Sus scrofa: one gene and its partners. The protein of the gene in region 3 interacts with the protein of the main gene of each other region in a pairwise test. Links are inferred from orthologs where the notes say so. Each region holds a gene or a part of one and is shown on either strand. Other genes may lie near its edges. The genes, in order: KCTD6, LAX1 and GRB7.

Evidence for each region.
Region 1: the proteins of GRB7 (region 3) and KCTD6 interact in binary tests that used the Homo sapiens proteins (3 or more experiments, as listed by UniProt). The two-hybrid records come from large-scale screens. The link is inferred for Sus scrofa from reciprocal best matches to the Homo sapiens genes GRB7 and KCTD6.
Region 2: the proteins of GRB7 (region 3) and LAX1 interact in binary tests that used the Homo sapiens proteins (3 or more experiments, as listed by UniProt). The two-hybrid records come from large-scale screens. The link is inferred for Sus scrofa from reciprocal best matches to the Homo sapiens genes GRB7 and LAX1.

What each region holds. Positions count from the first base shown.
Region 1 is NC_010455.5:40,216,883-40,220,529, forward strand, and holds the end of KCTD6 (BTB/POZ domain-containing protein KCTD6), read left to right. Parts: exon of another isoform or gene 1-204; 5' UTR 205-247; coding exon 248-274; intron 275-1,774; coding exon 1,775-2,461; 3' UTR 2,462-3,209; downstream 3,210-3,647. UniProt on the Homo sapiens protein: Probable substrate-specific adapter of a BCR (BTB-CUL3-RBX1) E3 ubiquitin-protein ligase complex mediating the ubiquitination and subsequent proteasomal degradation of target proteins.
Region 2 is NC_010451.4:64,459,117-64,463,460, reverse strand, and holds the start of LAX1 (lymphocyte transmembrane adapter 1), read right to left. Parts: upstream 2,909-4,344; 5' UTR 2,479-2,908; intron 2,022-2,478; exon of another isoform or gene 1,973-2,021; 5' UTR 1,870-1,972; coding exon 1,781-1,869; intron 1-1,780. UniProt on the Homo sapiens protein: Negatively regulates TCR (T-cell antigen receptor)-mediated signaling in T-cells and BCR (B-cell antigen receptor)-mediated signaling in B-cells.
Region 3 is NC_010454.4:22,573,993-22,577,291, forward strand, and holds the end of GRB7 (growth factor receptor-bound protein 7), read right to left. Parts: intron 3,277-3,299; coding exon 3,166-3,276; intron 2,919-3,165; coding exon 2,820-2,918; intron 2,330-2,819; coding exon 2,249-2,329; intron 2,131-2,248; coding exon 2,014-2,130; intron 1,826-2,013; coding exon 1,765-1,825; intron 1,639-1,764; coding exon 1,551-1,638; coding exon of another isoform or gene 1,547-1,550; exon of another isoform or gene 1,465-1,546; coding exon 870-1,464; 3' UTR 587-869; downstream 1-586. UniProt on the Homo sapiens protein: Adapter protein that interacts with the cytoplasmic domain of numerous receptor kinases and modulates down-stream signaling. Promotes activation of down-stream protein kinases, including STAT3, AKT1, MAPK1 and/or MAPK3. Promotes activation of HRAS.

The DNA of each region.
Region 1 (3,647 bases), on a different chromosome or scaffold from region 3:
ACCCATTGTGGTAGGAATGTGGAAGGACCCATAGATGGCCCTAGAGGAATCCTTTCTTCTCCAGATCTTTGCCTTGTAGCAGGTTTTAGTTGAGCAAAAATGAGTAGTTTTCTGGTGTTTGGCCTACTCTGTTGGGTGAGAAAACCTTTCTTCTCTGTTTTCATGGTTACATGCTCTATCACATGTCTTTTTCTCTTCCCCAAGTTTCCCTGGAACCTGGGCTCCCCGAGACGCAGCACTGGAGCAGATGGATAATGGAGACTGGGGCTATATGGTGAGAGGCTTTTGCAGATGCATTCTGAAGTCTGGCAAATTATTTTTTGTGTCTTTTCCCCCTATGTAATATATTCTTAGGTATATTTCATAAGAATGAAAATTATAAGTGATGTAACTCTCCCAATTAATTTAGATGCATTTGGGGGGTGTTTTTATTTTGTTCAGTGTTTTTAGGTAAGCAAGCTAAACATGGAGTCTCTTTGTAACTTTTTATGACTTGTTTTTTCAGTCTTTATGTTGCTCCTAAAGCTCTTCCTTCATAGAATTGTAACTCTTCAGTGTCTAGTAGGTAACAAGAGAGGACAGGGAGTTCCTGTCGTGGTGCAGTGGTTAACGAATCCGACTAGGAACCATGAGGTTGGGGGTTTGGTCCCTGCCCTTGCTCAGTGGGTTAAGGATCCGGCATTGCCGTGAGCTGTGGTGTAGTTCGCAGACGCTGCTCGGATCCCACGTTGCTGTGGCCCTGGCGTAGGCCAGTGGCTACAGTTCCGATTTGACCCCTAGCCTGGGAACCTCCATATGCCGAGGGAGCGGCCCAAAGAAATAGCAAAAAGACAAAAAAAAAAAAAAAGAAGAGAGGACATTTTCTTGTGGTTGGGGAGGTTGACAGTTGAGAAGGTGCCACTTCTTTCACGAGCACAGGTGCAGGTGTCCTCCTATTATTTGAAAATGTTTGTTAAGAAATATTTTACTTGCCGAGTACCTATCTTTACTTGTCTTATTTTATTTCTTACATGTGATTTCTAAAACCAAAGGTAGGTATTATTTAGAGAAGCTTGCTTTTCAAAATTAAAGGCCAGATTGCCACATTAATGTTACAAAAGTAAATACACTATCAGATGACGCAAGTTGAAAGCTGCTATTAGCTTTCGGCTATATGAGATTGTATCGACCAAACTGTGTATTTTAAACTCAGTGTTTGGTACTGTTATTTCCATGAAAAAGGAAGATGAAGTCTACACAAACTGGAAAAAAAAAAACCAAAAACCTCATGATTCCCCTGCCTTTTTTTTTTTTGGGAGGAAAAGACAAAGAAATACTGAATGTAGATGTCTTTATGTTATTAAATAATTTTGATTCTATTTTATATTAAATTGAATTAAGAAAAAAAGAAAGTCTCTTTTTTAAAAAATCAGAATAAAACTTAAATGAGTATATTTTAGTTTGGCCTTTCTCTTCCCATAATATACTCTGACCTGAAAACTTCTTCCAGTTACTGGATCTGAAATTAAATGGCTTTGGAAGCTGTGTCCTCCTTTCTCAGTGTAAGGCTTTGAAAAATTGGACTTACCCTTTTTTTCTGTTGGAAACAAATGTTAGATCCCTTCATCTGGGTAGGTTTCACACTAAAAGTAAAGCTATTTTGCCTCAGTGGATTGCTGTGTTCTAGTCTGAAAGAATCTGTTGCTTTTTTTGTTACCATTAATTTTCTTAATTTGTCAAAGTTAAGATTTAAAAAAAAAATTGAGATGACTGATCATTTTTTAAAAAATTTCAGATGACTGACCCAGTCACGTTAAATGTAGGTGGACACTTGTACACAACATCTCTCACCACGTTGACACGTTACCCGGATTCCATGCTTGGAGCTATGTTTGGGGGGGACTTCCCCACAGCTCGAGATCCTCAAGGCAATTACTTCATTGATCGAGATGGACCTCTTTTCCGATATGTCCTCAACTTCTTGAGAACTTCAGAGTTGACTTTACCCCTGGATTTTAAGGAATTTGATCTGCTTCGGAAAGAAGCAGACTTTTATCAGATTGAGCCCTTGATTCAGTGTCTCAATGACCCCAAGCCTTTGTATCCTATGGATACTTTTGAAGAAGTTGTGGAGTTATCTAGTACTCGGAAGCTTTCTAAGTATTCCAATCCAGTAGCTGTCATCATAACCCAGTTAACCATTACCACCAAGGTCCATTCCTTACTAGAAGGTATATCAAACTATTTTACGAAGTGGAATAAGCACATGATGGACACCAGAGATTGCCAGGTTTCCTTTACTTTTGGACCCTGTGATTATCACCAGGAAGTTTCTCTTCGAGTCCATCTGATGGAATACATTACAAAGCAAGGTTTCACAATCCGCAACACCCGAGTGCATCACATGAGTGAGCGGGCCAACGAGAACACAGTGGAGCACAACTGGACTTTCTGCAGGCTGGCCCGGAAGACCGATGACTGACCTTCAGCCTGGGAGAAGTTCCTACAAATGGACTCCCCAAGGAGATTGAAGAGGCTGTTTTTTGTTTGTTTGGTTTTTGTTTTTGTTTTTTAAATCACAGTGTGAGGATTTTTTTTTTTTTTTAATATTTGTATTTATTTGAAGGCATTGGGGACCAGCAGGAAGTTTTGTGCTTTAGCAGACTCCTCTTTGTGTGGTTCCCTTCACCCTGAGTATGCATGTGCCTGTTCAGAGCCTCCAGATACCTTTTTTATAAAAAGAAGTCTGAAAATCATTATGGTATATAATCTATCCTTAACAACCCTTTTTTTATTACAGTGCTAAGATGATTTCTGATTAAACAGTTTCTAACTCAACTAGAAGGCTAAAAATGCAGGAATGAAAGAAAAAACGGAGTACTCATGATGATGCCTTTGAGAAAAATCAGAACATCATATAGGGTGACCTAGTTTTCAAACCAATAAGCAGTATTGTAATATTAAACGAAAACTGTTCAATCATTTAAAAGTACTTGTTAAGTACTGCTTTTACAGTTATGACAACTGTTTCTTTCTATGCATATAAATCAAGCAACCAAATATCTGTAGCCATGGAAATGTCTGACTAGAAATATTTATATTGGATTCTGAATACAAAATGTCCCTGTGGTAGAAATCTTACTTCTTAGGCCTGGTAAGGTATAATTCCCAAGTGTACTGTCTACCAGGAAAACAAAAAACCAATAATAAAAAATGAAATGTGAAAATTAGGTTTGTATTTATTGATTATTATTAAAGGGAGAAAATAATATTCCTTATCTAAAATATGCATTGTTTGTTTTATGCCATAATAGATACTGCCCCGTGTTGGTGGTTCAGTGAACAATTCTTGCCACCCAATAAATACTGCCTGAGGTACATTAGTATTTGATGCTGGAGGACTCAGTGGAACTTTAGAATGCAGTTGATAGAATTCTCTGCTGTTGAAGTAGCGAATTTATGGAATTATTAGTTTTGTCTAAAAGAGTGCATATTTGGACAATGAACATATAGTTTGCCAAATTTCTTTTGAATAGGACTTGTTTTGAAGATTTGTAGATTTTTCTTTAGTGAGCCACCAATTGCCATTGCTCTGTGACCCTTATTCCAGCTCTATGGACAAACTTGACTCTTCGGCCCCACAAATGTATTTTATTGTTAAAGTTGTT
Region 2 (4,344 bases), on a different chromosome or scaffold from region 3:
CGGCCAGTTCCACATGGTCCTTTGCAAGACTCTTCCTAATGGGTCTCCCTGCTTTCATTCTTGGCCCCAAACTATCTTCACACACAAGCCAGCATGAGCCTCTAAATGGTAAACCAGATTGAGCTCCTCCTCTGTTTGCAAACTTCCATGATTGCCTGTCACACTTGGGATGGCATCCATGGTCCCTACCCAAGGAGGACATCATGGCATCTTCTGTTCTGGCCTCTGGCTGCCTTTGGCCTTGTTTCCTATCACTTTCCCTCTGATCCCGAAGGTCAGGCCTCCGTGCTCTTCCTGGCAGAGCACGGTCCTCTCTCAGACCTGCCACTCCCTCTCCCATGGCTCAGTCCCTCATTTCATTCAGGTCTCTTCTGAAATGCCATCTCCTCAGACTGATCCTCCCTGGCCACACCCTACTACTCTCAGTCCCTTGTGTCTGCTTTGGTTTTTCTTCATAGCACTTATGGCTGGCTGACATTATGTGATCCGTGCATGGGTTCCTTTGTTCCTATCTGACTCTTCCACTTGACTGTAAGCTCTAGGAGGTCATGGACTTGTCTGTCCTATTCATCTGGTGCCTGGAGCAGTGCCAGTAGGGGCCTGATGAGTATTTGTTAACTGAATGAAGGAATGAATTAGCAAAAAAATTAATGAATAACAAAATACAGCTGGGGGGGGCGCTGCAGGGTTCTGACACTTTATGAATTCATTCCCCATCAGTGCCCCTGTCCACCTGCCAGTGACGGGTATTTGTTTGTCATGGGTCATAACATTACCTCCCCAAACGACAGTGATTTAAAATCACATTATTACATATTATTGCTGTATTCTCATCATAGCACAGAAATTGTACTCTTATCATAGTGCAGAAATGTATACCTCCCAGTGTGAAAGTTTCAGCAGCTGATGGACTTTTTATTTTTGCTAATACGGTGTGGAAGCCTTTGGCAATAAAAATTTATATCTACAATGAGTTCTGTGAGATTCTAGGTCCTAAAGACCTATCTTTAGCATACCTATGATTACATGTTTATTCATGGCAAGTTTTTCTTTATTTAAAAATCTTGTTATAGTTGATTTACAATGTTCTGTCAATGTCTGCTGTCCAGCAAAGTGACCCAGTCATATGTATAAAAACATTTTTTTTTTTCTCATATTACCCTCTGTCACCTTCTACTACACGTGATCGGATATAGTTCCCTGTGCTGTACAGCAGGATCTCATTGCGTATCCACTCCAAATGCAATACTTTGTATCTACTCACCCCAAGCTGGCAGTCCACCCCACTCCCTCCTCCTCCCTCTTGGCAACCCCAAGCCTGTTCTCTGTGTCCATGAGTTTGTTTTTTTTTCTGTAGATAGCTTCATCTGTCACAGCAAGATGTTAGAACCGAGAGACACATCTGTGGAAAAAGTGGGCCTTTTGTGTCCATCGTGGTGGGAACTAGTTTTTGTTTTTGTTTCTCTGAGGAGTGATGGGTGGGACCTGGGGCAGGAAGACAGAGGACAGCCATCGGGCCTCTGAGCATGAGAAATTCAACCAGGGCTGCCAGCTCTAAGGAAGCGCCGCCTTATCGCAGTTCCTCTCCCCCAACAACGCCTTTTTCTCCTCAATGCCCATTCCTTTCCTCCCCGCGGTTTTGAGCAAACTCCGCTGAGCCTAGAATTAAGTGGTCTCTGGGGACCCGAGCCTGGTTGTGAGGCTGGCCACGCTGCTGGGGTAAAGCAGGGCATTCTGTCTACATCAGCGGAGGGGAGCACTCACCACCGTGGCCACTCACCTGTCCAGGGTGCTGAGGGTTCCCTGTAGAGTGCTGGGCTGTGAGGTCCTCCCTCTGACCTCTGAGATGGCCGGCGTGGTCATGCCCATTATCCCCGGACCCTCTCTGGCTTCAGCTTCTCCTTCCAAGCCTTCTCTCAACCATCATTAGCTCGCCAGCCTGTCTGCCCGTTTCCTGGCTCTTCCTTAATTGCTGACTCCCAGGACAAAAGGCAGAATTGGTTTGTGTTTTCCATACATACCTGTGTGGTATAACCACTTATTTTTAGTAGATAAGCATGGCAGGAGTTTCCATTGCGGCTCAGTGGAAACAAACCCAACTAGTATCCATGAGGATGTGGGTTAGATCCCTGGCCTCGCTCAGTGCGTTTGAGGATCCGGTGTTGACGTGAGCTGTGGTGTAATTTGCAGATGCGGCTCAGATGCTGTGTTGCTGTGGCTGTGGTGCAGGCTGGCAGCTACACCTCCGATTTGACCCCTAGCCTGGGAGGCTCATATGCTGGGGTTGCGGCCCTAAAAAGACACAACAAAATAAAACAAAACAAACCCCACTCCCTAATGTACAACTTTTTACTCTCAAAATTTCTTCTTAAAATTTTCTTCATCAAAGTCCCTCACAAGAAAAAGTCTACTAGTTTTTATTTCTTCCTTTCTAAAGCTTCCAATCTAGAACTTTCTCTCCCCCAACAAACTCCTTACCATGAGTCTGTTCCTGAAATGTCAGGCTGAGCTGACCCAAAATACAAAACAGGTTTGGTTCTACCTGGATGTGTCTTCGATGCCAGAGGGGAGAGCTCATCCGGGTGTGGACTCCCCAGCACAGCTGCTCAGGGAGAAGCCGGGTTCCCTGCCTCGTCAGAGCATGAGGGGTGCCGCGGGGGAAAGAGAAGCTGGAGAGAGGTTCCGTGAGAAGCTCATCTTCCCCCAACCCCCAAAGCAAAGAGAAGAGAACAAACAGTTTGCCAGAATGGAAACAGAGAGTCAGCTACAGGAAGCAACACCACCAACGTGCTAATGAAGCCTGGGGCCCAGGAAATGCTGCTCAGCTCTTAATAAGATAGAAGCAAACTTGCCTGCCCCATCTTCCCGGTGGCTGTGGTCTGTGGGGAGCATGATTCAAGATGGGGCAAGGTGGTGGGGTTTGCGATTTGTTCACCTGGGGTTGCTGAGAATTTATGCGCTTTATAAGCCTCCAGATTTGCATTGTGTGCTTTAAGCAGGTCTAAGGAGCACTGGGAGGTGTTTTTTAGAAACAAACGCAGATCCCTGGCACCTGCTGCTGATTCATGGGTAGAGGGTGCAGAGGGGGATGGGTGGTTTTCATAAACACACCGCAGGTGATTTTGACCGAGCTGGTCTGCTTCTTTTCCTTTCCTTTCCTTTCCTTTCCTTTCCTTTCCTTTCCTTCCCTTCCCTTCCCTTCCCTTTCTTTTCCTTTCCTTTTTCTTTCTTTCTCTCTCTCTCTCTCCTTCTTCCTTCCTTTCTTTGTCTTTTTAGGGGTGCACCCCTGGCATAGGGGTCTAATCAGAGCTACAGCTGCCGGCCTACGCTACAGCCATAGCAATGCATGATACAAGCTGCCTCTGTGACCTACACAGCTCAGAGCAATGCCGGATCCTTAACCCACTGAGCAGGGCCAGAGATTGAACCAGCATCCTCGTGGATATTAGTCGGGTTTGTTACTGCTGAGCCACAATGGAGCTCCTATGGGGGTAGCAGGGCCCTTGGGGGCCTCCCTCGTGCCCGTAGCTGCTGCCATCTTGCTCACAGAGCTCTTTCAGAGAAGATCCATCCCAGGATGGTGGTTGTGCACCTGTCTCAGAAGCTGGAAAATTCACCGCCCCCACGCTATGTCTACACAAAGTGCTCCAAACTTTGAAGATTGTTCAAAGCTTTTTTCTAGCTTCCTCCCCCTCTTCCTTTTACCAATTTCCTGACACTCTCTTTCATCTTGGGAGAGTCCAAGGAGAAGGGTGTGAAAAGACTATTTTGAGGGGGTGAGAAGAGCCTCTAGGAGTTTCCGCTGTGACACAGGGGGTTAAGTATCTGACTGCAGCAATGGCTTCAATCCCCAGTCCCGTAAAGTGGGTTAAGGGATCCAGGATTGCTGCGGTTGTGGCTTAGGTCACAGCTGAGGCTCAGATTCAAACCTTGGCCCAGCAACTTCCATATGCCATTGGCACGGCCATTAAAATAAGAAGAAGATGGAGTTCCATCGTGATGAAGCGGAAACAAATCTGACTAGAAACGATGAGGTTGTGAGTTTGATCCCTGGCCTCGCTCAGTGGGTTAAGGATCCGGTGTTGCTATGAGCTGTGGTGTAGGTACCAGACGTGGCTCAGATCTGGCATGGCTGTGGCTGTGGCTGGCAGCTATAGCTGCTATTAGACCCCTAGCCTGGGAACCTTCATATGCCGCAGATATGGCACTATGAAGAAAAAAAAAGAAAGAAAGAAAGGAAGGAAGGAAGGAAGGAAGGAAGATCCTCTGACTTCACTTTCCACAAGGAAGTGGATTCCCAGCTGGACGGCAGGGAAGCCAGCCCATGCCCTGTCATCTGCCTCT
Region 3 (3,299 bases):
GTCAGGACTCATTATCCCACCCAGCCCAGGAGGTGCTGAGGATCTGGATGCTCGCCAACTCCCAGGCTCTGTTAGAGCGCCCTCTGTAGCTTTGGGTCCCATCAGGAAATCGCACCCGGATGAGAGTGCCTTGTCCATTCAGTCTTTTTTTGTTGTCTTTTTAGGGCGGCACCTTCGGCATATGGAAGTTCCCAGACTAGGGGTCAAATCGGAGCTGTAGCTGCCAGCCAACGGCACAGCCACAGCAGTGCTGGATCCTTAACCCACTGAGCGAGGCCCAGGGATCAAACCTGCGTCTCATGGATGCCAGTCAGATTCGTTTCAGCTGAGCCACGACAGGAATGCCTCCATTCATTCAACGAGCAATTCTTGGACATCGACTCTGGGTCAGGCTCCATGCTGGGCACCAGAGACTGGCAGACAGCCAGAAGCACCTCAAGAAACATCCAGCCCGGCCGGTAGGCAGCCTCAATCCATCCGACACCTTCGCAGGGCCTTAACTGGGGCCGACCTTTCCCCTCCCCCTCTGCCCTCTTCCCCTCTCTGCTCCGGCCTAGCCAGGTGGTGCCAGAAAAAAACTCACAGCTGTACCAAAAAATAATCTTTATTGTCACTAGTATAAAACAGAGAAGATCAACTGGCCTCTCGGTCTGTACAAAGTGTGGGGCCTAAAGACCACCTGAGCTGCCCCCATCTCTCCCATAATGCCCTACCCCAGAGCGGTGCCCGGGAGCTCCGTGAAGGGGAGGGGTCCACCCCAGGGCCCTCCCTTAAGGAGAAGGCGAGGGTGGATGAGGCGAGGGGCTGGGGGCGGGGGGCACTTCGGCCTGAAAGAGGCAAGGAGCAGAGAACACCCAGGTCCTGGGTCTTCACGGTGAGCCTGTCCCTGCCTTCTTCATGCTCCGGGTCCATCCTATATGCGGAGGGGTGGCGGCGTGTGGCCTGGAGTGGCTGAGGCGCGGGCCCGCCTGCCTGGTGCTCAGAGGGCTACACGGGTGCAGCAGTGGCGCAGCAAGCAGGGCAGGATGCCGCGGTTCAGCTGGTGGAACTCCACGAGCTGCAGCAGGTCGGTGAAGCGAGTCTGGCCGTCGTCCATGCTGAAGTAAAGGCGACCCTCCTCCTCGCTCTGGGGTGAGCGGCCAGAGGGGTGGCAGGTCAGGGAGGGGCGCCAGGCTGCGGGAGCTCCCTCCTGGGCCAGGGCTGAAGTCCCCCAGTGCTTTCGCAGGAGAAAGCAAAGAACAGGAGATCCCAGACCCGGGGGTGGGGGGTGGGGTGGGGGGCAGGGAGGGGATGCCTCTTGAGAGGGCCTGAGAGGAGGACAGGGTGCTGGCAGTCCTGTGTCTCCACTGCAGGAACCCGGGACTACTCACTGGCAGGATAAGGTAATGCTTGACTTTCTGCACGTGGCACAGAGAGAGGACAAAGCCCTGTGGGTTCCGCTGACTCTCTCGGACCAGGAACAGGCTGCCAGGAGACAGGGCACCATGACCCAAAGACACAGGGCTGCCACTTCGACTGAGGTCTCTGCCCGGCCCAGCACTGCCCCTTACCCGTCTACCAGGCCCTGCTGCCCGATGAGCCGCTGGCTCTCCTCGCGGGAAATGCGTCCATGGAACCAAGGCTGGGTGCGGTGGATGGCTGGGGTGAAGGGAGGCAGATGGACGGTCACTCCGGGGCAGGGACCCTCGTTCTAACCACCCCCACTGGGGGCGCTCAGAGAAGCCACGGCAGCCCCACCCCTGGGGACGCTGGGCCCTCACCCACCTGCACTGAGGCTCGTGCCTGAGGATGGGGTGGGCAGGCTGAGGCGGTGGTTCGTCTTCTTCTGCAACACAGTGGGGGACACAAGGGGTCAGGGCGTGGCTGGGGGATCAGCGGCCCCTCAGGGATACAGAGCCCTCCTTCTGAAGCTGCCCCCCACCCCCCGGCCCTCCCTTTCATCTTCCCACTCCATGGAACCTCGTGTGGGGAGCAGTTCCCAGGATCGACATGCAGATGAATGCAAACCCTCACCCTCCAGGCCTGGGCCTCCTCCAGGGCGGCACTCAGAGCCTCCCGGGGGTTCTCGATGACACGACCAGCATGGCCGGAGAAGTCCATGGCCACCAGCGTGTTGTCCGAGACGCTCCTCTGCAGGTGGGAGAGGATGGGGTGGGTGGAGGGGCAGAACAGGACCAGACTATTCCTGGCACAGGGCTTGGGTGCCTCCCCCGACCCATCCCCCGCTAACACCCCTGTGCTCACTCACCAAGGGTGGGGAACCTGCACAGGACGGGCGCAGGTGGCGGGACTGTGCCTGCTGGTAATTCTTATACAGCTGCACCCCATACTGGGGGATGGAGAGAGAACGAGGTGATGGGGGGGCTGGGCCATGACACCCCCCAGACCAGGTCTTCCCAAGGGCAGGTCTCTATCTCTGCCCCTGGATAAGGGGCTTCCTAAACCAGAGCTGTGACTCCAGCTTTGGACCAAGGATTCTTTTTTTCCTTTTACAGCCGCGCTTGTGGCATATGGAAGTTTCTAGGCTAGGGGTCGAATTGGAGCTGTAGCTGCCAGCCTACACCACAGCCACAGCCATGCCGGATCTGACCTACACTGCAGTTTTCGGCAACACTGGATCCTTAACCTACTAAGGAAGGATGCATCCTCACAGACGCTATGCCAGGGTCTTAACCCACTAAGCTGCAACAGGAACTCCAGACCAAATTCCAAGAGAGCAAGGCTGTGATGCCCCCTCCTTCTAGAGACTTCCTGAGGGCAAAGCTATAACTCCTGCCTGACACCAGGGATCCTGAGATGGGCCCAGGCCAGGATCTCACCTTGAAGAGGCGGAAGGCAGCTAACCAGCAGGTACGGCTCTGCTCGTCCTCGCTGCAGAAGATGCGAAGGCCCTTGTGGCCATTTCGAAGCTTGTTTGGCTGTGGGGAGAGGAAACTGGCTGGTCCCACATCTGCCTAGACCAGGTATCGTTTCCTGTCTCCGTGGGGAGAGGAAACTGGCTGGTCCCACATCTGCCTAGACCAGGTATCATTTCCTGTCTCCGTGGGGTAGGGCAGGGAGCAGGGAGAGGGGTCTGGGTGTCCCCGAGGGAGCTCAGAAGCCCCAGCTAGGTTCCCCAAGCCTGAGCAGCTCCCACTCCCTGCCAGGCCAGGCCACACTCTTCACCTTGATGCAGAAGCCGAAGTCCGTGGGCATCCCGTACAGCTTGCGGCCCTGGGTCACCACGTACACATTGGACTCGTTCACATCGGCCACATACTGCAGGTGCCTCGGATCCTGGGCAGTGGGAGGGAGCGGGA